5 linked regions of the Canis lupus familiaris genome follow. The protein of the gene in region 5 interacts with the protein of the main gene of each other region in a biochemical or structural test. Links are inferred from orthologs where the notes say so. Each region holds a gene or a part of one and is shown on either strand. Other genes may lie near its edges. The genes, in order: ACVR2A, ACVR1, BMPR1A, BMPR1B and BMP7.

Region 1 (5,415 bases), on a different chromosome or scaffold from region 5:
CTGATGACTGGCAGAGGCTGCAGAATCCTAGAGAAACAGACATTTTGGAGCCAGAAAATACTGATACACTCATGGAACCCTAGATAGTTGGCCTATCCACTTTCAAGAGGCTCAATTGATAATCATGAACAGGTGGTTGATTAGCCACATGTGATTTTTTAAAAAGATTTTATTTATTTATTTGAGAGAGATTGCAGAAAGAGACAGAGTGTGCATGAGCGAGCATAGGAGTGGTTGGGAGTTGCAGAGGGAGAGGGAGAAGCAGACTCAGAGCAGGAAGCCTGACGTGGGGCTTGATCCCAGGACCCAGGACCAATCACCACCTGAGCCCAAGGCAGATGCTTAACTGACTGAGCCACCCAGGCACTCCAGCCATATGTCATTAATAGCAAAATTGTTGAATAAGCCCATGAAGATGGAATTATCTCAATTTTTCATGAGAAATTAAAATCTTACACATACACACACACACACACACACACACACGGTATTGTAGTATTTAGGATATACTTCTAAATCTGTGGATTTTCCAGGGCTTATTTCTCTGTAATTACACATTTTAGCTGCATTTCTGATTCTTGGCCTCTCATTAATAGAGGTGATATTTGCTTTTATGAAAAGTAACTAGGGCCACTAGGAAAATAGGATGGAGGTTCCTCAAAAAATAAAACTACCCTATGATCCAGCAATTCCACTTTTGGGTATTTATCTGGAGGAAATGAAAATATTAACTTGTAAAAAGATACATACACCCATATGGTTATTGCAACATTATTTATAATAGTCAAGATTGGAAGCACCTGAGTGTACATTGATGGATAAAGAAAATGTGGTGTGTACACACACACAAACACATACACACATAGAGGATGTTATGCTAAGTGAAATTAATTAATTGTATAGAGAAAGGTGCAAATACAATATGATCTCACCTAATGTGTAGTGTATATTGTATGTTTAAAAGTTGATAAGACAGTAGATTTTTGTTCTGTCTTTTTTTGTTTGTTTTGTTTTTTTTTTTTAGAGAGAGGAGGTTGGGGAGGGGCAGTGAGAGAGACAGGAGTTCGATTTCATGACCCTGAGATTTCAGCTGAAATTCGGAGTCATATGCCTAACTGAGCCACCCATGTGGTTTGATGAGAGAGTAGATCTTGAAAGTTCTCACCACAAGAAAAAGAATTTTTAACTATGTGTGATGTTGGACATTATATTATTGTGGTGATCATTTCACTATATGTACAAATATGAAAGCCATTTATGTTGTATACTGGAAACTAATGTAGTGCTATGTCAGTTTTATCTCCAGAAAAGTGGGGAAAATATTTTTTCCAAATTATCTTTTATTAATTAGTTGAAACCAGAGATCCTTGTTCTTTTTGTAGTAAAAACTACTGTTCGTCTCACCTGATAGTTAAGAGAAGGAAAAAGAAAAGATTCAAGAAATATCAAAGTATGGAGAAAAGACAATGATACAAAGAATGAAATTGGATAGGGAAAAGTACTTTTTTGAGTTAATTTGGCTAAGTAATCATTTTCCCCTCCTATAATTTGAGGCATGATTCTAAATGTTAAGATTTTAAACATATATTTTTTATAACTTAAGATTTAGCTTTCAGTTGTCTTTTATTTTCTATTAAATAGAATTGGTGTAGATTTAATTTTAATGTTTGATTTTGTTAAAACAGCCTTCTCCCTGAAATTTCTTAAGCTTTCCATTTTAAATTCAACCTTATTATTCTAACAGCCATCACAAAAGTTTGCAGTTTGTAGGATATGTCTTTAAATTTACCTGATGTTTATTAGCATATTTAAAGGTTTGTTGTTGTTGTTGTTATCTGTTTGTTTTCAAACAGGTATGGCTATTTATTGGCTGATTAGGGTTTGTTCTAGTGGCTGAATCCCTATCTCCTCAGCTCCCCAGTCAACCTCATATCAGTTTTTGAGTTATTAGGTTCTATATCTTGTTACATTTTGTTTTCTACTTGTTGGTTATCTTACCCTTGCTCATTGTGTTTAGGGAATTTAAATCTACTCCAAAAAATGATACTGTTAATTCCCAAACCTAGCTTGGGTCTGTGATGTTGAGATAGGTCCTGCCATGAAAGGAACTTAGGTCCTTGTGTGTGTGTGTGTATATTTATATATAAACATATACGTATATATGGGTATCGGTGTGTACACATACACATAGTTTTATTTATAGTGTTCAGCTTTTTAATTCATGCAATGGGAAAGCTATATGTCCTGTAAGAGAAAGCACTTGTAAGCCAAATTTCTTCGTTGGCTCTATGTTCCTTTTTACACTTTTCTAATAATTAAAGAAACATAGTTGCCTTAGATTGATGATTTAAAACCAGATTAAGGTCATAGCAGTGGCCTCAAGAAGCTAGTGTCATTGCTGTAAAAGCAGCTGGTTTTTGTTTTTAAGTGAGATTTAGTAGAAGGATTACTGGAATGTTTTTTGGCTTTTAAGAATTGATCATTGGATATTAATAAAAATCTTTTAAGTTGACCATGAATGACTTTTCCATTATTTTATCTCTGAGAAGAATTTTAGAAAAATACCCATTGTGGATTCAGTTTAATGCTGATTTTAATGATTTCTCCTCTGTTTGTTTATAGGACTGATTGTATAGAAAAAAAAGACAGCCCTGAAGTGTATTTTTGTTGCTGTGAGGGCAATATGTGTAACGAAAGGTTTTCTTATTTTCCGGAGATGGAAGTCACACAGCGTAAGTTCACAGGGAAAATACATAGATCTGTTCAACTAGTACACTGAAAGCAAAACATATTTTGTGTTGATGGAATAATTTACTCCTACCTTCTCCTACTCTTGTTTTTCTCCTAAAATTTGATGCTATAAATCAATAAATACTTATTGTGGAATTTTGTAGACCAAAGCTGAATTGTTTTTTTCCTTCCATTTTCCACAGCTACTTCGAACCCAGTTACACCTAAGCCACCCTATTACAACATATTGCTTTATTCCTTGGTGCCACTTATGTTGATTGCGGGGATTGTTATTTGTGCATTTTGGGTGTATAGGCATCATAAGATGGCCTACCCTCCTGTACTTGTTCCAACTCAAGTAAGTTGTCTTGTACCTTGTGCTGTTTTAAGTTGTATATTTTACAGAACTATTACTGTGGTGAAACCCACTGGGTTGCTATAAGTCATTTTCTTTTGGTGTTACTTTTTGAATGCTTATTGTTATGGCAACTATAGCTAATTTTCCAAACTTAGTAATTTGCTGTGTCCTAAACTTTTCTCACTTTGGAGCTGAGGTAAGGTAGAACAAAGGGTATTCTGTTCTTTGGACAGTTTCACTGTCATTGTAATACTTTCAAGTGTGAGATTTACCCAGCTTTGTTTCTTGAGAAGTAATTGATGGATAAGTGATATCATAACCTGTCCTTTCTCTTCTTTCTTCCATTCCTTAATTCTTTTGCCTTTTTCAAGACTACTTGCCAAAATATCCTTTTAACCATAGGGAGAGTTTTAGTAAGGTGATCCAGAAAGTGTGGAAAAGGAGGTTTCACAAAGGCATCAGGAAGCTATATACGAAAAAATGTTTCTGGGAAGAGGAGCAGATGAGCAATGCTTTTCATCATTTATTAGTAATAGTTCAAGTGTTTTTTGTTGTTATTGTTTTTGCAGCATATCAAGTGTGTACTGAAAACTAAAAAGCTTTTTTTTTAATACTAAAAATTTTTTCAATGCCCTCGATGCTCCCTCTCCTGACCCCAAATCTACCTTAAACTATAGATATGGTGGGTAATCAGATTAAATTCATGAAATTTTCCTCTTTCTCTATCACATAGACAGTTGGTACTGGTACAATGGTTTACAAGTTCTTTTAATATAAGTAGCTAATATTCTGCAAACTCAGGAAGGGTGAAAACTGTAGTTATACTTGTTTGCGACATCTTCAAACTCTAGTTTTAACTGTGTTTCTTTCAACTCTTAAGATCAGATTACCTTGGCCTTTTGGATCTGTGGTTTAACTGTTACTCTAATACTAGGATTAATGGTTAAAACGTGGTAGAAGAATGGTAAAGTCCTATAATTTAATGACCAAAACAACTTCTTCTCTGTAAGCTTTATTTACATAACATACTACTTTCTCAGTACTTGGCAGCAATCTGTTAGCATTAGGTTATTGATCCACATAATCTTTGTAAGATGTATACATGGAGAAATAAACCCAAAGGTAAAATACCTTATTCAGTAAATTAGGTAAACACTGTTTTGTGCAGCTGAAATATTTTAACTTTTAAACCTTAGTTACCAACTTGTGGATTTATTAAAAATTATCTCTGAAAGTATTTTAAAATAAAAATTTTCGCTGCCTAATAAACAGATGTAGCTTACTCCAGATGGCCATAGGATCCACTTTATCTGCCTTTGGTGGTAACTATTTTTTGATTTCTATTTTTAGAAGAAAGAGTATTTAGTACTTAGTGTCTGAATTTACCCTAGATTTGTGATATAATAGAAGAAAACTAGAAACTGAATTGAAAAATAAATTTAAGTTTTTTAATGGAACTTTAAAAATAAAAATGTATTCTTATAGATAACATTGATATTTATATAATATTGGCACAAAGTTACGGTTGGACTTTTTAAAAAGGGCTCAGTATCCTATACATGAGGCCACTTTACTTAGAAATGCTAATTAATTTAAGGGGTTAGACTTTTAAAATGGAAAGATGCAGTTATTGTTCGTAAGTAACCGAGAACCAGGAGTCTCCAATGAATATCCATTTCTGGATTTTAGATTATTTGTTACCAGGTTAGTATTATTGTACACATTTATTTAGCACTTGGATTGCTCTGTGGTGACTTTGCATACACTACATGAATTACTGAAAACTGAGAACTAGATTTAAGATTTTGTGATGGAATGATCTGGAATGGTCAAGCTTTTGTTAGGCAAAATAAACTGTGGAAGAGGGATTGTCATCAGTTTGGAAATTTCATTTATGTCATCTCTCACTGTGTCTCAGAAGTATAGTGTCATGCCTTAAGTATCATTTTTAGTGAGAGGTTCTACAACACTGATTAGTGGCCATTTTGTTAAAAATGCTCAAGTTTTATCTCCAGTTTCAAAATAATTATTGATAATAATTATTGAAAACAACAGCAAGGATTTATTGAACTCTTACAGTGTACTAGGGTACTGCTAAGTTACACATATGTATAAATACTTAAGTTTTATATAAGAATATGTAAAAACATAAAATACATATTTTTTTCTCATGATTTCTAAATTGTGACTGATAGATAAGGCTCATCTTTGGAGTTTGTTAAAAAATACAAACTCCAGGGCCACAGCCCTGTAAGTATGGAGTGGGGCCTAAGATGATATGTTTCTAATAAGTTTCCAAGGTGATTGTGAACAGCCAGGTGTGAAAA
Region 2 (5,887 bases), on a different chromosome or scaffold from region 5:
TCACTCCCGGAGATCAAAGAAGGCATTTTGTACCAGGAAACCGAATTCAAATTCTCATTTCCAGGAATAAAGCCACAGTGCCCAATATTTGCTTGGGAAAGTAAAACAGGAGACCATGTGGACTCCAACTAAAATCTCTGATGGCTTCACTTCTCAGCCTCGCCAGTTTAACGCTGTTAACATCTTACCCAGGCTTTGCTTTAACTTAAATCCCAGCTTCCCAGCCTGAATGGTCACACGTGCCCACTGGATAAAAATGAAAGCACTGTAACACTTCATGACAGCGTTTTCTGACCCATCCTGAGTACTAGATGTATGCGACGAGGTGAGGCTGACAAGTGCCAGCTTCCGCTCAGCCCTAGCCTCCCCTAACCACAGTCAGGAGAAACCACTGCAGCCCACGCTCTGATGTTGGTCACAGTATTGAAACGAGAGTGGAAGCAGGAGAATACAGAAAAGGGGGACATACCTCAATCTCCTTCAGGTATGACAACAATCAACTTGCTTTAAAATTATCACCTGGGGTCTTATCAATCAGCCAACAGCATTTGCGTGCCTACTTCGCACAGGCACCGAGCTGTCTACAGTCATCATAGTGCAGGGAAATATTCCCCAAGTAGTCATTATGTTAATAGTCATGTGTTTAATTTTCTTTATCTTTTTACCAAAAAATATGTATCATGTATGTAGGTTAGAAAGTCTAAAAATAAAATCAGCACCCTTGAACCCACCACCCAACCCAAAACCCCAGAAGGTCATCAATGCTCTATCATCTACCTACTTCTTCCTCCCTGAACCTCCCCAGGTCCCTGCAAAATACACACACACACACACACACACACACACACACACACGGTAATCATTTAATCATTGTCCTGAATCTGGGGTTTTATTATGAGTACAAATGCATCTTTATGATTACATCCTATTACTAACAAGGGAGTTGGCTTTCCAAATAAGGCAATGATATATTGGTTCTTCTTAAAAGATGACATCTTTTAAGTTTTTCTAAGGGCAATCACCACTTTAAAGAAAAACACTAAATAATTAATAGACTGAAACTTAGCCATAACAAACTCCTGAAGACAGTGTATGAGTGAATGAAATTTGTCAAACACTGGCCAAAAGGGGCTGAGGACACGCGTTCCAGAGTCCCACAAACTCCTGGTTCAAATCCTGACTCCACTGAGGACTAGCTCTACATACAACTAGGGCAACTACTCAATTTCAGGAAGCCTCAATTCCTCATCATAAGAGTGAAATAATAATAAAACATGTGGTTGCTGTGAAAATGTAATGAAAAATGCATGTGAAGAGCTGAGCACTGTGCCTAGCACATATCCGGTGCTCCCCAACATATCTGTCACCAAATTCATTCAAACATATCAAAGGGTTTTTGCTACCATTAACAGTGTACTTCTCCCCAGTGTCTAACAAGTTGTACATTAGACCCCTTCACATAAAGATAAATCAAGATGCAGAGATCCAATAGCAGAACAAGCATAGAGGACTGTTCCCAGTCCCAGCTCCTCTTTGTCTAAAGTACTTTTTGCGCACACGCACGCGCGCACACACACACACACACACACACACACATTGATTCAATCTTCACCTCATGACCTTGAATAACAGGATCATTTTTCAAGCGCATCCCTGCCCTGTCCCTTCCTCCCCCATAAGGCTGGACTACTTGATCCAACAACCCTACCTAGAAGTCTATCATGATTCTCACAGTATTGGTTCAGTGCAATCTAAGGTAAGTCATAGTCTCCACTGCTTCAATCACTGTTAGCTGTTTGGTGGACAGAGGCAGAAAATTTGGTAAATCACTACTGTGAAAAAAATCATTACAATGCTATTAATGGCATTAAGGTCCCCACTTCTGAAATTAATTACATTCCTGAAGAAGGCAAACTCCTCCATCTCAAAGCAGCATCCTTAATATTCTTTTAAATTACTCAGAGATAACAAGAAATTCACTCGGATTCAAATGATCACTCTCTTCCACGGTACAAAAGTTGTAACACCACTACCTAAATCGAGTTTTACTTATAACCCGCTCTCTCCATTTCAAGAAAAATTCACCCGAACTCCAGAAAAGGAGGGTATGAACCCATTCTAGCCCCCCTCCCAGCTCTTGAGTTTTGCCATTTATCCAGAATTTACTGCAACATCATTCACCACCTTCTGAGTGTTTGCGTGCATGTGGGGTGAAGCAGAAATGCTATTAACCCACCACACAATTCCGTCGATTTAAGACCCACACATTGCAGCTTCAAAAGACTTCCTTTTTGGTTTTTGTTTTGTGTGTTTAGTTCCAGGCCAGAAAACAGAAACGACTGCATCACAAAACAAAGTGATTAGGTCTTAGGAGCCAGGTGATCCAAGTCCCGTCCAGGCCTAGGACAACCTCTTGACCCCTCTGTCCCCACCAGCTAAACAGGGGAGGCCCCTATTTCAATACCAAAGCATACTGTAAAGCTGGATGGCGAGGCCAGTGTCTGAGGTCAGCACAAGTCTAGTGTCTGCTGGCTGCCCAAGCCCGGGCCCCCAGCCAGCCACCCACCTCCAGAGACAAGTGCCAAGACATACTATAGTGTTTCCATTTAAGGCCTGCCACTTGGATCAGCCCATCTCTGAAATTTCTTAACACCACCTTTCCAGGAAGAATTTTTTTGGGGGAAAAGGGAGGTGGTGTCTATTTTTTGCCACCGCCTTCCCTTGGGCTGTCAGAGCAGTCTGCATCTCTGGGACAGGATTCTTTAAAACCACTGGGTTATATCTAAGTCTCAATTAGACGGCCTCTTCTCAAAAACAATACAAACTGTGCATGAGGCCAGTCCTCTTTCCCATCCCCTACTTGCCATCACTCCTAGTCTCCTCTCTCTCCATCTCTCTGAAACAGACACACACACACAAAAGAAAGCCCAACAAAACGAACAAATCCACTGATTACTCTGCTACCACCTTCCAAAAGCCAAATTAAGCACAACTTTTTAACCATGACTTTCCTCCCGCAGTGTGTTTTCCTCCCTCGGTAGCTTCCTCTGCAGCTTCTCCCCCAGGCAGGGAGCGTTCAAAACTCCGGGGAAAGGGAGCTGCGGGCGCGGGGGGAGGGGAGCCACGTCTGGCGCGGGCCGGACAGACCGACGGCGGCCTAGAGCCCGGGGCGAGCGGGGCGGCCCCGGCCCCGGCCCCTGCGCGGCGCCCCCGCCCGGCCTCCAGCCTCGCTGCCGGGTTACGGCGGTGAGCGAAGGGCTTTAAACTTGGCAAAGTCTCGTGCAACATCTGTAACCACATTCGCCTTCTGGGGATCGGGAGACGAATCCCACATTCCTGGCTTTGAAGCTTTTTGAAACTGCAGCTCGGAAGCCCGGGGGGCGGGCGGGAGTTCAGCGGAGTTTACTGGCTGCGTCTCCGCAGAAAATTCCTCCTGGAAGCGCCCGGCGTTCGGCGGCGGGGCCGACGCGGCCGGGAGCGGAGACGCGGCCCCGACGGAGCGGCCCCGGGCAGGACGGCCGGGCTCCAAGGCGCTGGCCCCGCCGGCGGGGAGGCTGCGGGGAGGAGGCACCGGGGGCGCCCGCGAGGCCCCCGCCGCCCGCCCGCCGCCCGCCGCCCGCCGCCCGCCGCCCCGGCCCGGCCCCGCCGCCCCCGCCCCGCCCGCCCGCCGCCCGCCCTCACCTCTGGTCCCGCCGCGGCCGGGCTGAGCCGGGAGGCGGGGAGCGAGCCCTCCGGGCGCTGCGGGGCGGCGCGGGCGGGCGGGCGAGCCCGGAACTCGGCGGCGGCGGCGGCGGCGGCGGCGGGGCCGGGGCGCTCCTGCCCTCGGGCCGGCGCGCTGGCTGGGGCTGGGGGCAGCCCGGCGGCGGCGGCGGCGGCCACCGGGGAAGAGCCGGGGAGGGAGGGAGGGAGGGGAGGCGGGGGAGGAGGAGGAGGAGGAGGAGGAGGAAGGGGAGGGGGCGGCGGGATAAACTTCCCGAGGCGCGGGGGCGCGGGCGGGGCGCGGCCGGGGAGGCGGCGGGCGGCGGGGAGGCGGGGAGGCGGCCCCGGAGTAGGAAAGTTCCCGGGCGCGGAGGGGAGGCTGCGGCGGCGGCGGCGGCGGCGGCGGCGGCGGCGGCGGCGGCTGCGAAGAGCAGGAGCCGGAGCGGGAGGAGCGGGAGCGGCGGGAGGAGGAGGAGGAGGAAGTGGCTGCGGAGCGCTCGGCCAATGGGTGTCTGGAGCTGTGATTAACCAGGCAGCAACACATCATTTCCTCCCGGCGCGGATCCAGGAGCCGGGAGGGAGAGGGAGGCGGCGGGGCGGGGCCGGGCCCGCGCCCCCTGCAGGCGCCCGGCCGGGGGCGAGCCCGCCGAGCCCGCCCCGCCGCCCCCGCCCCCGCCCCGCCGGCCCCGCCGCCCCCGCCGCCCCCGCCGCCCCCGCCGGGCCGAGGACGCCGCGAGCGCCGGGCGCGGGGTCCTGGGAGGCGGGGCGGCGGCGGCCAGGCCGGAGCGGGGCCGGGCGGAGAGGCGGGCGGGCGGGCGCGCAGGTAGGCGCGGGGGGGCGGCGGGACGGCTCCCGGGGCGCGGGGGGCGCGGGCGGCGGGGCTCGGCGTGCGCCTCCGAATCCCCTTCCACGTTGCTCACTTCCCCGCGAGGTCCGGGGTTATGCAAGAGCTTGCCATCCTCGCAGTCGGCCTCCTTAGCGATAAAAATGAGCGGGGGACGGGGGAGGGGGCTTCTGCGGCGATCTGGCCCCGTCCTAGGCGCCAGGGCAGCTTACTGCGGAAAGGAAGGAACATTCCCCGCCGCACGGAGGCTGACAACCTCGGTCCTTGGATACGCGAAAACACTCCAGTGTGCTAATATTATCCAGAGCATCAAAAAGGCATGCGGGGATCAAATTTTGCATGGTGCCTGCTGAGTGCAAGGAAAGCACCAAGCCATTTCCTCTGCCCTCTAGAAGCTTATAATGTACAGTCCTATCACAAAGCAGAGTAAGAGCCTGAAACCAATAAATGGGGATACCATAAAGTATTTTTATCTCTACAGGTTCATTCATGCAGCAGGCATTTATTGGGTGACTGCAGTGCTGCAAAAGGTTGCAAAGGAAATGGAAGATCTGGTCCCTGCAGGTCAGGAGTTTACAATCCAATTAGGAACGTAAGGCACATATACGTGAGACAGCTAGGAAATAACCCCCAGGTGTTACATAAGCAATAGGTTGGAGAAGTCGGGGGGGGGGGGGGGGGGGGGGCGTTTTTTCGCAAGGGGACTCCGTACCTGCACGCTTGCTTGCCGAGAATCGGGAGAGGAAACTCCAGGTCAATCAAGCAAAAATGCCTACGTGTACCCCTGCTCTGTAAAACAGTACAACGGGGATCTCCGTGTCACTTGGCTGAAGCTCCGCCACTTAGAAACTGTATGACCTTGGGCATGTCTCTAACCTCTGGGGAGGGAATAAAGCCTGTCTCCAGGTTCGTCGTGGGGTTCAAACGAGATGACCCTTACTTGAAAGCCCGTCAAGGTGCTGTGTGAATGTTCCTCAGTCCCGTACATTTACAGAGTCCTCATTTTACCAGCCTCTTCTTGGTAACCTTCCCAGTCCTCCCTAGGCCGTAAGCTCCCTGAGGGCAGGGACCAGGTTGGCTGTGTTCACGTGTATCATCATGCCCAGCAGACTGGAACACGTGGGTGCCCAATAGACGTTTGCTGAGTAAGTGGATAAATGAACCAATGAATCCTGTTATGCTTTTAACTGTTGTATCCGTACCTTCAGTAGTGGCCTTGTGTGACTTTGTCAACACAAAACCCCCTAACCCAACCTCCCTGGGACTACCTTGCATTCCAGGAGACTATCTGGGAGGATTCTAGGTAGTTCTTGTGGCCTTGTAATATAAATTGATGATTGCACA
Region 3 (5,981 bases), on a different chromosome or scaffold from region 5:
ATAGTCCCAGGGCCCCGGGATCAAGCCCCACATCAGGCTCCCTGCTCAGCAGGAGTCTGCTTCTCCCTCTCCCTCTGTGCTCTCTCCCTCTCAAGTCAATAAATATTTTTTTTAAAAGGAAAACTTAGGTCCAACCAGATTTGAAAAATCACCTATGTTTACTCTCAGCACTGCCCAACATGATCTGTTTTATCCAGATAGAAGGCGTGGGCATCAGCACCTCTTTCCAACAACCAGTCAGAAATCAGAAATCACTGCTTCTTCTCCCCTGACATCTATTCCACATGGTCTTCCTTTTCCATTTCCACCCCTACTACCTGGATTAAATTCTGATTACCTCATACCTCACACCTCCTAAAACCTTCTGAGCCTCCTGAGCCCTCACTCCATTTCTCTAATGACATATATTCACACATCACTGCTAGAGTGATTTTCCTAAAGGAAGATTTTCTTGATGTTACACTTCCTAGCCTAAGACCTCTACCATATTTATAGAGAAATACTCGTTTTCCATCAGCCAGCTTTTCTAGAAATACCTTTTAATTCTTTACCTATTCAAATCCTAACTCATCTTTCAAATCCCAAGTCAAACAATCCCTCCCATGCTCTGTCTGTACTTAGCAGTTCTACAGAACTCTGATTAGGAAGTAATGAATTACTCTTCTGGCATTTATTATTTTTACCTGGCAGTGTTAGTGATCATTACTCATATTACTTATATACAGACCTTACTGGTATGACTGTAAATAGAAGATGGGGACCATGTTCTTTATTTTCTGATACTTCCATTGTGACTTGCTGCTACACAGTTTAACAGAGACCAAAATAAATAATATCCTACAGAACAAAAATAAGCGCTCTCGAGTCTTAAATTAGGAAGGAATATATCCTTAGAGTCAAAGAAATCAAGGGCGCCTGGGTGGCTCAGCCAGTTAAGCACCTGACTCCTGATTTCAGCTCAGGTCATGATGTCAGGGTCATGATATCAAGCCCTGCATCAGGCTCTGCACAGGGCAGGGAGCATGCTGGAGATTTTCTCTCCCTCTCTCTCTGTCCTTACACATTCCCTCCACTGCCAGCAGTTGTGCATGTGCACGCGCACACACACATCCAAAAAAAGAAATATAGATCACAAAGGACCTCAGGGGTGAATTGGCACTTGAGATTTTTTTTTTTTAAGATTTTATTTATTTATTTGTGAGAGACACAGAGAGAGGCAGAGACACAGGCAAAGGTAGAAGCAGGCTCCAGGCAGGGAGCCCGACGTGGGACTCGATCCCGGGTCTCCAGGATCACGCTCTGGGCCGAAGGCAGACACTAAACTGCTGAGCCACCCAGGCTGCCCGAGAGGAGTTCTTAAAAGTTGACAGGGCTACCACAAGAAAAAGTGGAAAAAGCATGTCAGGAGAAAAGAATAATAGGAGCAGAGAGCAAAGAAATACAGGCAGCTTCAAATCACTGGCTGAAGAGTACCACACATACACGGAGGGGTACAGAGGAAGAAAACTGAATGTTTGCTAACAACCAATGCTTACAGGTTTTCATAATTTCAGGTAAGTTGATCCCTACCTAAATCAAGAGCCTCATCATTTCTTGCTTGAAACAATTAACAATTAAGAGCATCCGAATTGTCGCCTGCTTTTGGTGTCCCCCTCCTCCTTCCAAACTATCATCCATATCCCTGCAGGATTAATTTTAGCAAAACAAATTATGATTCTAAAATGCCTCTGTTAAAATTTTTCGGTGGCTGCCAACTATTCACAAAATAAAGCCTAAACTCCCGACCACAGCACTGAGTCCTTCACCATCAAGGTCTCTCCTCGCCTTGTCCCTCAAAGCCGCTCTCATATCCTGAATTCAAACCACACAAAATGATTTCTTCTGTCTGTTGTACAATCGATATACCTCAGGCTTCCCTTGCTTACGCTGAGCTCTGCGCGTGAAATTCTCTCGCCTCCCAAATTCCACTGGGCAATCTTTCTCATCTTTCGAGACTCTACTCAACTATCACGTCCTATGTGCAGCCTCCCGGACTGTTCCCTCCTCTCACAGCAGTGAAGCGCCCAACCGCGAGGGCCCTGCGATATTTCAGGTGAAATGTAATGGAAGGGCCTAGCATTGGATGGGGATGGGGGGACTGGAAGAGAAAGGACGGAAACATTCACGGCACATTCAGAGGCCACCGGGTGGGACTGCATCTCTGACTAGAGCGGGAAGGAAAAGGTGAGGAACCACATCCGGCACCGAGACTTTGCGTGTGGGTAACAGAGATGTCCGCTAACAGACATGGGAACCCCGGTGCGACGCGAGCGGTTGGCCATACAGGCCGAAAGCTTAGAGAGAGGGACACAAGTGAAATGTAAGGTTGAGAGATCACTATAGAGGTAACTGTTGAAATGAGATCAGGAAAAACATAAAGAAGAAACAGAAAAATTTCAAAGATAAAACCTCGTGGAGGTCATTACTTAAGAGTAGGAGGAGAAGAAAAATTATGAAGGAGTGATTAAAGAAGTAGAGCTAGAAGAACACAGGGCCGGGCAGCCCTGGTGGCGCAGCGGTTTAGCGCCGCCTGCAGCCCAGGGTGTGATCCTGGAGACCCGGGATCGAGTCCCACATCGGGCTTCCTGCATGGAGCCTGCTTCTCCCTCTGCCTGTGTCTCTGCCTCTCTCTCGCTCTGACTGAATAAATAAATAAATCTTAAAAAAAAAAAAAAAAAAAGAAGGAGAAGAACACAGGGTCATAGAAACCAAGAGAACTGCAAAAAAGGGAAAATAGCAACTACTACAGTGATCAAAGAGTATGAAACCTAATAAAAGGCAATTAAAAAGTTGTAAGTGTTTTTCAAAAGAGCAAAGACACAAAGAGCAAAGGCAGAGTGAGAAAAAAGAATGAGCACGCTACAGAAGCAGCAGCCAACTGCTGCAAAGCCAACTACCCTACGAGGAAAGAGTACAGACTACTTCATAGTATATGTCCTATTTATTTTTCTAAAATATAGATCCTAAAGAATTCAAACCTTTTACCTGATAATCTGAGTCTGTAAATGGATCAAAATTAATGCACTTGACATCCCCTTTCTTAGAACGGCTTCTTTTCTCCTACCCTTGGTGTTACGACAGTTCCTACTTTTAAAACAAATTCTATCTCCAAAAACCTATTATTTTAAGACAACATTTTTATTCTGAATTCTATAATGTGTGAAAGATTCAAAATAATATAAACATCCATAATCTTCCATTCTGAACTCTGGTTGTCTTTAGGGGGGATAAATACATCCTTATATATCATCTAATGCTTATTTTCTATAATTAGAGTGAAGAAAGTGATATCAGTAATAAATGAGTACCTTTTATTTTTGAAGACTTTAAACATGAATAAGAAGGGGAAAATGTATTAGAACTACTTATGAACTCATAAAGAGGTGTTTAAAGAAACTAAAAAGACTAAAATAAAGTTGCAGCAGTAATACATACACATGGACTATTTTCAATTCCTTCCTTCTTTCCTTCCAAGTTAGTTAATATATAGTATAGTATTGGTTTCAGGAGAATTTAGTGATTCATCACTACACACAACACCGCGTGCTCATCCCAACATGCACTCTCCTTAATGCCCATCACCCAATTCAATTTAGCTCATTCCCCCACCCACCTTCCACGACTATTTTCAAATAGTTGATATGAAAATGTTCATATTATTCTAATTATTTTCTTAAAAGTCTTTTCCTTACCTCAGAGATGTGGCTAGATAAAACTGTACTTCCAATTTTCTCCAAACAGCTTTGACCTATGCTTCCATCTCATGAATTCCAAGACAGTATTAAACTGATGCATATTTTCATAAATCTGTTAAAAAAAAGAGAGAGAGCTTACTTAGACCAAAAGAAACACACAAAAGCAATACTAAAAATTCGTCATGTGTAAAATTATATATTTTCAACATAAAGTCAATGAAATTCTAAAGTATTTTAACCTATCACTTTATCATTTTCCCAACCTCTGCCCAAAGATGTTTCCTATTTTGTATATTTTCAACTTCACAAAGGTAACAATAGTTCTGTGGAAGAAACTTCTTGCATGCAAAATTTCTGTATTAGCTTAGATTTCTGAAGGAAAAAAAAAATCACATCTTAAAACGAAAAAACAGGAACAGTTAGAAGCAGCACTAAAATCCACAATTCTACAGTATTGAAATTTCTACTTAGGCAAAAATATATTTGGCCACCCAGCTAATACCCCTATTTTTCACTTTCTATCACAAAATCTCAGTAGGTAGTTCTAATTTCAGTCAATCTTCTACCTAGAATATTAAAGAACTGGAGGGGTCAGGAATCAATGGCACTGCTTGGTCTAAGCCCAGGGGATAGGTTACAACTATGTTTCCACTGACATTTAGTTCCCTGCTGCATTAAGACACAAAGTTGATAAATCTAAAAGCGGGAAACAATGAAAAATTCTGATTTATTTAAAAAGGCATGTTGCTTACTTAGAGATCTTAAAAATAATTTCTATGAACATATCTTTTAAATGAAACTTCAAATAGCAAAGTATTGTTTCATATTTTAAAAGGAAAAATTTTAAGCTGTATGAACACTACCTATGTCCCACGGCAAGGTCAAAATGCCTTTGTCTTCAAGTCCATTTAGAGGTATCGTTTGTGTCACACTGAGGTTTAGTAGTCTTGGCAATAATGACTGAATTCATGTAAACTGGGGCAACCTGAAACGGTCTAGCATATCAGATAGCAGCCTTTCTTAAAGACAAGAGTCTCCACTCAGCAGACGGGCTGCCATAGGACCATGCTAAATCTTTCATGGTCCAACTAAAGACAGACTGACCCTGAAAGCAATTAGTAATGCTTTGTCTGCATTTAGGAGCCTTAAACAGTCTTCTCAATGCACCGGTTACCCACAACTTAACTGGTCTCTAATATTTTTCAGGGTATTCACAGGACAATAAAACTCTTAGACCATCACTCAGAGAAACGAGGGCAGGAATGGAAGAGATACAGTGTTTAGGGATTTTTTTTTTTCCTGAGAGGTTCACAGTCTTAAAAAATTTCCCTTACATAATCAAAAAATAAATGCATTATGTTTTCATTTTAGAAATGACAAATATCTACCTCCAAAGCCACTCTTTGCCAACAACTCCATTCTTCCCTAATGGCGTAGGTGGAAGAAAAGAGGGAAGGCAATCACTGTATTTCACAAAGCTAGAGATTAACCCATTCTCATAAGGGTTATAACAATCCATCAAAATGACTATGTTTAAAAATATATGGCCTGATTCTAATTCTACCAGATATTTCCAATGGATCAAATAAAATTAACATATAAAACATTTAACCATTGCTTATCATGGCACTGCTTATTACAAAACTGTTTCCTTGGTGTGAAAAAAAAAAAAAAAGCTTCAGGCTAAATCTAAAGTTAATAAAAAGAAATATGAATAATCAAAAGAATCTTCAAGTATGCCATCTTCAAAGTCTGAGACCCTGAATTGTCTATCCTCCCTCCATCCTCTCACATGCACAAATAAATGACAAAGTATAAATCGTCTAAAAATTGAATTTAAGACCAGCTAAGGAAAACCAAGTAAACATGACCTCATACTAAGACATAAATAAAAAAAAATCAAAGGACAGGATATGCTTCACCATACAGGTCTGCACATCACTTTTTTAAAACTAGAAATTGTGCAAATAAAGTAAAGCTTTCCTTAACCTTTGCAATACAGTGCTACAGTCCTAAAAGAAGAGATGCGTAAATATGTGCATGTATATAAAAAGGATTTTACGTGGGCAAAATGCCCCCAACAGCTTTAATCTTTTGACTTACAAGGTAACTGAACACAGGCTTTTAGCACTAAGAACTTGTGTTTAACAACTAGAAAGATCTAGTCAAAACTGAACACTAAACAAGTATAATAATGTTTTCGTCAAAGATTTTGTGTCTGAAACTTTCAAGCCTCTTAGTTCTAGA
Region 4 (5,878 bases), on a different chromosome or scaffold from region 5:
ACAGCTTCTTTGCAAGTGTTCTGGTTTGCCACCAGAACACAGGTGTGAAAACTACCACTTAACCTAAACCAAAATGGGAAAGGAAAAGACTCACATCAACATCGTCGTCATTGGACACATAGATATGGGCAAGTCTACCACTACTGGCCATCTGACCTACAAATGTGGTGGGGTCTACAAAAGAACTATCGAAAAATTTGAGAAGGAGGCTGCTAAGATGGGAAAAGGCTCCTTCAAGTATGCCTGGGTCTTGGATGAACTGAAAGCTGAACGTGAACGTGGTATCACCATTGATATCTCCCTGTGGAAATTTGAGACCAGCAAGTATTACATGCCCCAGGACACAGAGACTTTTTCAAAAACATGATTACAGGCACATCTCAGGCTGACTGTGCTGTCCTGATTGTTGCTGCTGGTGTTGGTAAATTTGAAGCGGGTATCTCCAAGAATGGGCAGACCCATGAGCATGCCCTTCTGGCTTATGCACTGGGTATAAAACAACTAATTGTTGGTGTTAACAAAATGGATTCCACTGAACCACCCTACAGCCAGAAGAGATACGAGGAAATCGTTAAGGAAGTCAGCACCTACATTAAGAAAATTGGCTACAACCCCGACACAGTAGCATTTGTGCCAATTTCTGGTTAGAATGGTGACAACGTGCTGGGGCCAAGAGCTAACGTGCCTTGGTTCAAGGGATGGAAAGTCACCCGTAAAGATGGGAATGCCTGTGGAACCACACTGCTTGAAGCTCTGGATCGCAGTCTGCCACCAACTTGTCCAACTGATAAGCCCTTGTGTCTGTCTTTCCAGGACGTCTACAAAATTGGTGGTATTGGTACTGTCCCAGTGGGTCGAGTGGAGACTGATGTTCTTAAGCCTGGCATGGTGGTCACCTCTGCTCCGGTCAATGTTACAACTGAAGTCTGTTGAAATGCACATGAGTGAGGCTCTTCCTGGAGACAATGTGGGCTTCAGTGTCTAGAAGTATCTGTCAAAGATGTTCGTCGTGGCAATATGGCTGGTGACAGCAAAAATGACACACTAATGGAAGCAGCTGGCTTCACGGCTCAGGTGATTATCCTGAACCATCCAGGCCAGGTCAGTGCTGGATATGCACCTGTGCTGGATTGTCACACAGCTCACATTGCTTGCAAGTTTGCTGAGCTGAAGGAGAAGATAGATCGTCATTCTGGAAAAAAGCTGGAAGATGGTCCCAAGTTCTTGAAATCTGGGGATGCTGCCATTGTTGATATGGTTCCTGGCAAACCTATGTGTGTTGCGAGCTTCTCTGACTATCCTCCTCTGGGACGTTTTGCTGTTCGTGACAGGAGACAGACGGTTGCTGTGGGCGTCATCAAAGCAGTGGACAAGAAGGCAGCTGGAGCTGGCAAAGTCACCAAGTCTGCCCAGAAAGCTCAGAAGGCTAAATGAATATTATCCCCAATACCTGCCATCCCCAGTCTTAATCAGTAATGGAAGAATGGTCTCAGAACTGTTGTGTCAATTGGCCATTTAAGTTTAATAGTAAAAGACTGGTTAATGATAACAATGCATCGTAAAACCTGCAGAAGGAAAGGAGAATGTTTTGTGGACCTTTTTTTTTTGTGTGTGTGTGTGTGTGTGCATGTGTGGCAGTTTTAAGTTACTAGTTTTTGAAATCAGTACTTTTTAATGGAAACAACTTGACCAAAAATCTGTCACAGAATTTTGAGACCCATTAAAACGAAAGTTTTTTAAGTAAAGAGACTGGTAGGAAGAAAGCCCTAGGACCCAAACAATCTGGATTTAAATGCTAGGCTTCATGATTTATTAGATCACTTAAACTTTGAGTCTTAATTTTCTCATCTGCAAATAGGAATGATATTTACTCATACCATTACCATACAGAGTAGAGATGATCTATGTACTAGTGCTCATTGAACTCATTGCACTGAGTCAAATACAACTATTATAATTTAATGTATAGGTTGTTACCCTGAAATGGTTATGAGAATTTCTCTATTTTATGTGAGACATATATTATATGATTATAATAATTATATAAGTATAATTTCTAATATCAAAATCATTAAAATATCTGTTTTATGTTTAAATCTTTAAGTATCATAAATACTTAATATTTTGTTTAATCTCCTCATTCTTTGGATAGAAGACTTTGGTTGGACTCTCCCACAGATCCTTAAACTCTTACTCTTTCTTCTTTTCAGCAAACTTACTTGATAACATGCTTTTGCGAAGTTCAGGAAAATTAAATGTGGGCACCAAGAAAGAGGATGGTGAGAGTACAGTCCCCACCCCTCGTCCAAAGATCTTGCGTTGCAAATGCCACCACCATTGTCCAGAAGACTCAGTCAACAACATTTGCAGGTTGGTCATAAATGTTTTAACAAAAGGTTTTAACCTAGGTTTAACAAAAAGTCATACTTTTTTGACTACGAAATTGTAGGCTGATGTTACCCAAGAACACATTTTGAGGAATAGTGCCTAACTCCTTAACTCTCAGAGCTGTACCTGTGCTTAGAAAAATATTAAATTGCATTTTGGCCTGAAATGGCATTCTGAGATTCTTCTTCCTTTCTGCAAATATATCACATATGCACATCAACATAGAACACAGGTTCCGAGCTTGGGACAAGTGTCAAGGACAAAACTATTTTTTTTTTCCTAAAAGACCCTATCCCCAAAATAAATTCAACAGCAGAGGGTGTCAAATGTGTGAGGATTTTTATTAGTTTTAACCATTCATCCTGTCATTGGTGGTCAATATTTTAGAAAGAACACCTGAGTTGTTAGGAATATTCATTGACTCTGGGAAGCAGTGTAGTGATAGAGCTTATGTGAGCCCACCAGATGGTAGGAGAGACATTGTCAGAGTACTAGAGAATAAACTCCTTAGTGAATAATCATATTTGTATCAAAACTTTATTTGGAACTGGACTATTTACCTCTTTCTTTCTAATGCATCTTAATGCAGCTACATCCATTTTGCTAGGCACTCTAGCCTATATTTACACTCCTCATGAAACAGTGGCTAAAGAGGCATAGCCTAATAAGGCCAGTGTGCCCAGGGAGACATAGCAGAGTAACCAGACAAGTGCAGATCTCAAGAGTTAAGATGTCAGAAAAGCAGTATGTCTTTCAAGAAATAGGCCCAAATGGGAACATGGGCTGCTAGGTTTGAAGTCCATGCAGAATATCTGAGCAATAATTTAGGGCCTATTTACCCAGGAAGGAGCATAAAGCTGAGCTGAATGCTTTTTTTTTTTTCTTCTTCCTGAGAAAGAAGGCATATCCTGTGATATGTAGCTCAAGAAATATATATTAACTGAACGATAGGGGGGAATGTTAGGTATATTCATAAATACATATCTCCTTTTTTTTTTAAAACATCAAAGGATTTTTTAAAAAATTTTTTTTAATTTTTATTTATTTATGATAGTCACAGAGAGAGAGAGAGAGGCAGAGACATAGGCAGAGGGAGAAGCAGGCTCCATGCACCGGGAGCCCGACGTGGGATTCGATCCCAGGTCTCCAGGATCGTGCCCTGGGCCAAAGGCCTGCGCCAAACCGCTGCACCACCCAGGGATCCCTACATATCTCCTTTAATCAGCAAAACAACTGAGCATGGTAGGGCATGCTTATTTCTTATCATTAGACATAAGGAATTTAGGGCCCAGGGAAGTCCAGTAACTTGGCTCTTATATGGAGAACAAAGTTGGGATCACGGAGTCTTGTGCCATGGTAAAATGATTCCAGAGCTCAGATGGTATTTACTGGGAAATACCACCTGTTTGTAGTAAATGGTAAAAGTATCAGGAAAATGTCAAAGTTTTCTGAAAAATATAAAATTATCAGGAAGAAACATATTAGGTGGATATTTTACTATTTTGCCTGAGTCTGTAGTAATTAAGAATAAATCTGTGTGTGTCATTGGAGCTATAGTTCTGGTGATCACATGTGAAAACTTTGCAAAATTATCCCAACTTTAAATATTCTGTCCTATTTTCCTTATAGGACATTGGAGTGTCCTAAGTTGATTTGGAAGAAAGTGTTCAGACAGGGTTAACTGCAGGACAGATTCTTTGCGTGGGAAGGAGAAGTTTGGCATATTCAAAGAAGACTGGTTTTCCTAAAGTGCAGGGAGCAGGTGGAGGTGTGGCTATAGTTGAGCCTGGAGCTAGGAAAGATTATACATGGCCTGGCCGGCTTTATTAAGAATGTTCGTCTTATTTCTGGAAGCATTGGGAGGCCAGTGACGGAGATTTGTTTAAGCAGGAGTAGCAGTGGTATTAATGTGGATTTAGGAAAGACAGTTCATGTAAGGGAACATGATCTTGGACTAGGGTGGTGCTGGTGCAAGAGGGAAGTGAATGTGTTGGGGAATTATTTAGAAGGAAAGTTTTATTTTGATGAACTGGCTTCACAAATTGCTTGATGTACATTTAGATGTACAGTGTAGGCTTTTAATGAAAGAAGACAGAGAGAAGTAATTAAGTTCCAATCTGGACATACTGAGTTTAAGGTTTTGTTTTTTTTTTTTTTAAGATTTTATTTATTTATTCATGAGAGACACAGAGACAGAGAGGCAGAGACACAGGCAGAGGGAGAAGTAGACTCCATGCAGGGAGCTGGACATGGGACTGGATCCAGGATCTCCAGGATCACACCCTGGGCTGAAGGCGGCACTAAACCGCTGAGCCACCCCGGCTGCCCAAGTTTAAGGTTTTTGACCCCCCACAAATGGAGATACCAAAGAGTAGGCCGTGGGATATGGATTTGCAGCTGAGATGAGTTTGGGGGAAGAGTCTAGAGTGAGCAGAAGATGAGTCAGTTTTTGCTGTGAAATAAATGGTGTCAAAATCACAGTGACTTACAGCTAAAGACATTCATATTTTCATTCCTAGGCCTGCAAATGGGCTGCAGCTGTTCTGGGCCCTGCTGGATTGGGTGGGCTTGGCATTGGACTGTTTCCTTGAGTTTAGGCCTGTTCCACATGTTTGTCAACCCTTCTTAGAGTAGAAGCTATCCAGAGCTTCTCACTTGACTGTGAGGGAGCAGCATCTTAAAACTTGTATTTGTGGGATGTCCCCTAACATTCCATTTTCCAAATCAAGTGATTTGGTACCAAGTCAAGCTCAACTTCAGAGAGAAGCCATGGCTAGAGTGGTGCATGAAAAATTGAGTATAGTAATAAAATAATCCAATAGACCAGGGTAGGACTGAGCCTTGAGACATTTAATGCTTGGGTCAAGGAGGCTCTTCCCAGAAGATCCAGAATGAACATAGAACAGTGAGTATGGTATCATTGAAACCAAGTTTACAGAGGGAGGAAGTAAGGTCAGCTGTGTTAGAAGCTGTTAGAGGTCAAGTAGGGTAAGAACCAAAACACAGCAGTCAGATTTATTGACCTTGATAACTGTAGTTAAGAAATATTTATTCCAAAGTCCTTAATTCTTGACCATCAGCCAACCCTTGAAATGGCTCTCAAAGGAGCGAATATTCACTCTTGAGTAAAATGAACATCTTTTTTGCTAACAAGATGTTAACTCCAGTTGAGTCTCCTAGGAGCTGAGGTCAGTTGCGTGAATCACAGGGGCTACTTTGTTCCTGGGCCTAAGACCTAGAATAAATTCAGTCCTCCATTACTATAAGCTCATGATCTACTTTTTGACTTCCAAAAATCAGTACCTGTCATGCTGTCTCTGGTGAAACACATACACACACCCCCAACACCCAATCAGCTGCACTGATACTTTTCTAAAGCACGATAAAAATGAATTACTAGAGAATAGATTTAAAAATACTTGCAAATTGCATACTTATTTTTTTTCTATTTTTCTATTATAGAGATTCAGCAGAGCTAAATTTATTGTTC
Region 5 (6,123 bases):
GATCTTAATGCCAAACACTTGTCAACGAAAAGGACAGCCAGATGGTATAAAGCAAAGACTCCACAGCCTTCTCACTGCTCTTCGGCTACATTAACAAAAGCCACTTTTGTACACCGAGTCCAATAACGACCGGCTTCCAACTCCGTATTTTTTTTTTTTAATTTAGCTTCGAAGATTAAAACAAATTTGGTTCTTTCATAACCTGGGCCAGAGAGGAACATGCATCACACACCCCTAATGCCAGCCGGCTTCTTTTTGAAGATTCCAAAAGGAGCTGCTGGATTTCTCCAGGGGCGGGGGGAATGGTTAGGGGGCTCTAGCTGATTCGGTCTGCAGAACTCACGTTGCCTGGGGACAATTTCAGAGAGGGTAGCCTGTTTTGAATTCCAAAATTAAGGCTACACAGAGGAGTCGGGGGCTTGTTAATCCAAACCAGTTTACAAATCTCGCCATTGAACTGAAGAGGCCCGGGCTGAGAAGAGGTGGGTCTCCCTCCGTGGCTCGGCGAGCATTACACGGGGCTTCATCGGACGGGCCACTCTTTGTCACAAGGTGGGGTCTGAAGTCCTCATTCTCAGCACCTGGTTTTGTCGTACATTCTCCTCTAGCTCCCTCTCTAGTTTAGATCCCGCTCCGCCTGGCAAAAAGCTTGAATTCCAAGGAGGAGGACTTATAGGAACAAAAACCAGTTTGGCTGCAGACAGAAGGAAGAATAAAGGCACCAGGTCTGCAAAAGCCTTCAGAATCTGGTCCGAGGTCCCCCAGGCACGGCAGGACAGCAGCGCTATGTGGCGGAGGAAGGAGGGGGCAGTAGAGAAAGTCAGCCTCTCCCTCAGCAGCCCCCCGAAGTCGCCCCAGGCCTCCACCCCCTCCACGTGTTACCCAAGTAAGGGTCTGATATGAACAAATGACATTTTCTTATTATTGGATAAAGTGTGAGACTTAATGCACCTTTAGAAAACTTTGCATGTTACAGATCAATTATGATTTGCAGTCCAAGGAAAAACAGTTGTGCTTCCTTAGCAAACTTAGCTTCCAGATTGGTCTCCTACGCACTCCCCTCCACCGCCACTACCACCCCCAAGCCCCTGCCATACAGAAATCCCCAAGCCCCAGACAGAATGGAAGAGACAGGAGCTTTACTCGTCCCATGCTGCTGCTGAGCAGAAATAAAGGCCACCCTTAAAGTGCCTACAGGAGGAGTCTTGCCAGACTGCAGGCCAGGTCTTCACCCAACCAATTACCTCGAGTTTTAGGGACAGCTAGGGAAAGAAAACAAGACCAGTGCACACTCTGTTAAAAGCCACTGCGCCATCTAATTTGGAGTGATGTTCCAGAAAGCACGACCTGAGAAAGTCAGGACTGTCCCACAAAGCCCAAAGCCAGCCCGACTGATTAAGAGGCTCAGACAAGCCGGTCTTTGTCCTTTCAAGATGAAAGAAATGGGGCTAACGGGTTGAAAGGTGTGTGTGTACAGCCAGAGGAGGAGAACCACCCAGCTATGGCCTTCCCAAACAAGTATCGGCTTGCTCCCACCACCGAGGGGGAGCAAACAGCTCTGCCCCAAGGTTCCCAGAGGCACCCAGTCAGCAGCCTCCTCCTCCTCTGGGGTGGGGGGAACCCCGGCCACACTGCTGGTCCACAGAAGCAGCAAGGTGATTTTTGGCACTGGGTTTGCAGAAGCCAGGGCTTACAAATGCCTTTTTAATGACCCCAGCCTGGCCCTGAAGGCCACCACTGGGACCTGCGGCATTCACTGAGACTCGTGGGTGGGTACCCAACAGGACAGAGGATACCACAAATCCCTCGCCAGAGAAAGGGCCTAGCCCCAGCTAACCACCAGCTTCTGGACACTACAGAGTGTGTCCTGCTTTAATTTACATATTAATTCATATATATTTATATATGTGTGTAAGTCTTTAGTTTCTGGTATAGGTCACACATACACGTTGCAAAAAAAAAAAAAAAAAAAAAAGAATCACACGGACAAAAGTGCAGACAATGAAAAATCAGAAATCAGACCCCAGCTCCCACTGCCCTGCCCCGCCCCCCAGTAAAACCTACTTCCAGTTGGCGGTGTCTTCTTCCAGGGGGGAACAGATGATATACAAGCGCCTACGTAACCTCACTGATCTGCACCTTGCTCTTTTCCACCTCATACATCTTGGAGATTGTTCTAAATCGGGACATATGGAGCTGCCTCCTTCTAACTGGCCGCTTAGTATAATTTAAACTTTCTTGAAGTTATTTTGGCATCTGAACCTCCCACCCCTTTCTCGCTGAAACTCGTTGCACTGTTTGATTTTCGGCTATTAGGAAGGGCAGACGAAGGCGACCTTCTCCGCAGCTGGGAGCATCAGGGTGGGTCCCCGGCGCCCCGCGCCCCCACCCGCGCGCCCCGCGCCCCGCGCCCCCAGCGAGGGGCTCCAGAATCACCGCCGGGGTGACGCGGCGTCCGTGGGCGTGACTCTGCGGTCTCGATCCCGTTCGGATTTTCGCCGCAAGTAGAATGAAATCGGCTCAGGAAACAACGCTATCGGGGCGTGTTATCTCGGAAACCAAATATTTGATCGCCAGCCCTGCAGCGCGCCGCCGGGGGTTAGTTTGAGCAAGCCTGGCGGACGTGCGTGCACGGAGGGAGGAGGAGCCCCCGCGCCCCCGCCTCGGCCCCCCCAGCCCCGGCCCCCGCGGCTCGGGTCGTCGGCGAGGTCCCCCGGCCGCCCCCCGCGGCGGCTGCTCCGAGCTCCGCGCCACTCCATCGCCAAAAGCCGTGGTCTGCGCGCCACACGTGATAAACGCTGAAAATGGATTGTGCCCGCCCGGGACCTATCATTAAATATTTAAAATAGAAAGCTCGCCATGGCACCGTTTCTTCCCCAGCCCCCGCCAGGAGAGCTGAGAGCCAGGGGGCGCCGGGCCGCACGCAGGGCCCCCCCCCCCAGGCGCAGGCGGCGCGCGGCACGCTCGGGCGGGCGCACCGCGAGGGCGCAGGTAGGGCGGGCCGGGGCGGCGAGGGGGCGCGGCGTCGGGGTGCCAGGTCCAGGCGGGGCCCAGGGGGGCCCCGAAAGGGCGGGAAGGCGGCTGCGCCCCGCAGGGCCCTTTAAATCCAGGTAGCCGGGGCGCGCGGGCCGGCACAGCTCACATGACCCAGCCCCGCGCTTTGAACTGAGCCGCGGCCGGCCCGGCGCCTCCAGCCCCGGAGGTGCGGCCGCCGACCTGACCCGGAGGGGGCTTCGGAGCAGCCCTCTCGTCCGCCGAGCCCCCCCCCCACCCCCAAGGCCGGACGAGCCCGGGCCGCCCTACCTGGGGGGCGCGCACAGCTGGGAGTCCGCCGGGGCTGGGGGTCGGAGCCCCCGGGGCGGGCGCTGCGCTTCTGCAAAGGGCCGCGAGCGTCAAGATGCAAGCAGCGGCCCCCTCCCCGTCCCAAAGCGCCCCTGGACCGAGACGCTGCCCCCACCCCCACCCCGCCTCCTGCCCTCACTCACCGAGGTTGACGAAGCTCATGACCATGTCGGCGTCGGTGAGGAAGTGGCTGTCTTGCAGGCTGGCCAGAGGGGGGCCCTGGGTGCTGAAGACGGCCTTGTAGGGGTAGGAGAAGCCCTGGCCGTCGGGCCCGCCGCCCTCCTCCACCGCCATGGCATTGTACAGGTCCAGCATGAACATGGGCGCCGAGTTGTGCTTGCCCTGGAGGTGCGGGCGCGGGCGGTGGGGCAAGCCCAGGATAGAGAGGATCTCGCGCTGCATCTCCCGCCGCTCCTGGCTGCGGAGGCGCCGGTGGATGAAGCTCGAGTGCACCTCGTTGTCCAGGCTGAAGTCGGCCAGGGCGGAGCGCAGCAGGAGCAGGGGCGCCCAGAGCGCCACGAAGCTGCGGGGCGCCGCGGCGCAGGGCGAGCGCACGTGCATCGCGCCGGCTCTACGCGCCACCCGGGCTCCGGGCCCCCGGCTCCGGGCCCCGCGCCGCCCCAGGTGGCGGAGGGGGGCAGGCGGCCGTCCGCGCCGCTCGGTCACTTGCTGCAGACGGGCCCCGCTGCGCCCGCGCCAGACATGGCCCCTCCCCGGCCGGCTGCGCTCTGCCCGGACCCCCGCCCCCCGCTCGGCGCTGGCCCCGGGGCCCCTCGCCCCGCACTCGCCCGGGCGCACCGCGGGGCTTGGAAACCGGCTGGAGGGAGCGAGCGGGCGGGCGGGCGGGCGAGGAGGCGGGCGCGGGTGGGAGGAGCAGCCAGCAGACCCGGGAGCCGCGGAGCGAGCGCCGGGGAGGCGGCGGGCGGCGGCGGGCGGCGGGCGGGCGAGCGCTCCTTCCTCCCGCTCCGCTCGCGCTCTGCCCTCGGGCGGCGGCGACCCGCGCTCTTCCGAACTCCGGCGCCGGGAGCAGGGGCCCCGGGCCGCTCCCCCAGCCGCGCGCGCCCTGGATCGCACGAGAGGCCGCCTCGGGAGCCCCAGACTGGTGCGCGCCCGGGCCTGGGAGGAGGAGGCGGAGGACGGGCTTCCAGGGGCCCCTCCCGCGCCCGCGGCCTCCCACCTGCCCTCGGCCCCGCCCTCCCCCCAGCTGCGCCCAATGGGTTCATTCATTCCTTCTACTGCGCTTTACAAATATTTACCGAGTGCCCACGGGGTGCCCGGCGCCCGGCCGAGCGCCGCGGGGATGCGGACGGGGGAATCCGAGCCGGCCCTGGCCTCTCCGGGCTCGAGGTCGGGACAGGGAGGGAGGAGGCCAGAGCGACCCGTGGGATTCGTTTTGGGGCTGAGGTAGAAGAAGATGAGGGAGGGAGGGAGGGAGGGACGGAGGGAGGGGCGCAGCGCAGCAATCGGGAAGGCTTCCCGGAGGAGGAGACCCCGAGCCCCTCTCGTCCCTCTGCTCCACCAACTCGCCGTTTGCTCCAGCCACGCGGACCCCGCCGCGCCTCCCAGCACGAACCGCTAGGCTGTCTTTGCACTTGCCATTCCCTCTGCCTGGAATCCCCTTCCCTTTAATCCCTCCCACCCCCATCTGCGCCTAGCTCCGGTGGCCTCCACCTCCCCGTGCCACTTGGGTGCCACTTCCTCCCAGGTCGGGAGAGAGAAGGTGGCCTCCCCTCCTGACCCCTGTGCACATTTGTCTTCTTTTCTCTGACTTCCCTCACGGTCTGCAATTGCTGTTGGGGTTACTCGCGCCTCCCTTACCGTATTGTGTCCTCCAACGGAAACAGAGGTGCCGCTTGGGGAAGGGGGGGAACAGGCTGGCGCTTTCTCGGTCTCCTCTGTACCCACAGCGCCTTGAACCCAGGTCCCCGTAGCTGCCTGCAGCTGCGCAGTGTTTGAGGAACGACTGTGTGGACTGCAGAATTTCTCCCCACCTCCTCCCCTGGGGGCCCCGGCTTATTTCCAAGCACTCTTCAGCTTGACTCTACATACCGGATCCCGACCCCACCCCTGGGCCCTGCCCTGCCGGCAGTGTCTGGGGAGCAGGTGGTCACCTTGCATCCCAGTCCTCCTCTGAGGGCCTGTGCCCGAGGTCCATCCCGCCAGCATCCTGAGCTGCCTAGAGCCCAGCACATCCGGCCATGGACACAGGCACCCCGACAGCCTGGAGCATGCCTTGAGACCTCCTGTGAGTTACTGCTCTTCAGGAACCCCATTCCTTCACTGCAAAAATGGGAGCAAAACAATGCAAGTGAGGCCACAAGTGAAAGTGCATCCTCGCCTCCTTCCCCTCCTGGGGCTGCCCCCACCAGGCAAATCCACAGCTCGGGGTTCCCAGATGATGGGCTAGTTGGAGGGTTGCCACGGGCAGCTTGGGATGAAAGGTGGATGGCTGAGGTGGGGAGACGAGGGTTGGCGGGAGCAGTCAGGCCAAGCCTCACTGGGGAACAGGAGAAAGCTCCAGGATTGGCAGAGAGAAACCTGACCTTCTAGAGTTTTCTGGAGCAGAGCTGGTTCTGCCCTGTAGCCCTCTGGGGGCTTTGGACAAGATGGCAGTCTGAGGGGTCACGGAGGTGGATAGGTGAGGCCAGAAGGTGGGCAAGGAGGTGAGGGATGCAAGGTTTGCAGGTCATGCCCATTCATATCACAGGCTCCCACCCGTTATTGAGGCCCCAGCTCTGAGATGCAGCAGGTCCTGAGCGCCCTGACCCTGGGCTGGGCCTC

The links.
Region 1: the proteins of BMP7 (region 5) and ACVR2A are reported together in a solved structure, tested with the Homo sapiens proteins (2 studies listed by BioGRID, with this or other methods). The link is inferred for Canis lupus familiaris from reciprocal best matches to the Homo sapiens genes BMP7 and ACVR2A.
Region 2: the proteins of BMP7 (region 5) and ACVR1 form a complex in vitro, tested with the Homo sapiens proteins (2 studies listed by BioGRID). The link is inferred for Canis lupus familiaris from reciprocal best matches to the Homo sapiens genes BMP7 and ACVR1.
Region 3: the proteins of BMP7 (region 5) and BMPR1A form a complex in vitro, tested with the Homo sapiens proteins (2 studies listed by BioGRID). The link is inferred for Canis lupus familiaris from reciprocal best matches to the Homo sapiens genes BMP7 and BMPR1A.
Region 4: the proteins of BMP7 (region 5) and BMPR1B form a complex in vitro, tested with the Homo sapiens proteins (2 studies listed by BioGRID). The link is inferred for Canis lupus familiaris from reciprocal best matches to the Homo sapiens genes BMP7 and BMPR1B.

Annotation. Positions count from the first base shown.
Region 1 is NC_049240.1:51,342,922-51,348,336, forward strand, and holds part of ACVR2A (activin receptor type-2A), read left to right. Parts: intron 1-2,622; coding exon 2,623-2,732; intron 2,733-2,933; coding exon 2,934-3,088; intron 3,089-5,415. UniProt on the Homo sapiens protein: On ligand binding, forms a receptor complex consisting of two type II and two type I transmembrane serine/threonine kinases.
Region 2 is NC_049257.1:4,088,077-4,093,963, forward strand, and holds the start of ACVR1 (activin receptor type-1), read right to left. Parts: upstream 3,762-5,887; 5' UTR 3,682-3,761; intron 1-3,681. UniProt on the Homo sapiens protein: Bone morphogenetic protein (BMP) type I receptor that is involved in a wide variety of biological processes, including bone, heart, cartilage, nervous, and reproductive system development and regulation.
Region 3 is NC_049225.1:35,395,652-35,401,632, reverse strand, and holds the start of BMPR1A (bone morphogenetic protein receptor type-1A), read right to left. Parts: upstream 3,806-5,981; 5' UTR 3,732-3,805; intron 1-3,731. UniProt on the Homo sapiens protein: On ligand binding, forms a receptor complex consisting of two type II and two type I transmembrane serine/threonine kinases.
Region 4 is NC_049253.1:21,980,647-21,986,524, reverse strand, and holds the start of BMPR1B (bone morphogenetic protein receptor type-1B), read left to right. Parts: upstream 1-2,160; 5' UTR 2,161-2,227; coding exon 2,228-2,370; intron 2,371-5,878. UniProt on the Homo sapiens protein: On ligand binding, forms a receptor complex consisting of two type II and two type I transmembrane serine/threonine kinases.
Region 5 is NC_049245.1:43,038,830-43,044,952, forward strand, and holds the start of BMP7 (bone morphogenetic protein 7 precursor), read right to left. Parts: upstream 3,904-6,123; coding exon 3,486-3,903; intron 1-3,485. UniProt on the Homo sapiens protein: Growth factor of the TGF-beta superfamily that plays important role in various biological processes, including embryogenesis, hematopoiesis, neurogenesis and skeletal morphogenesis.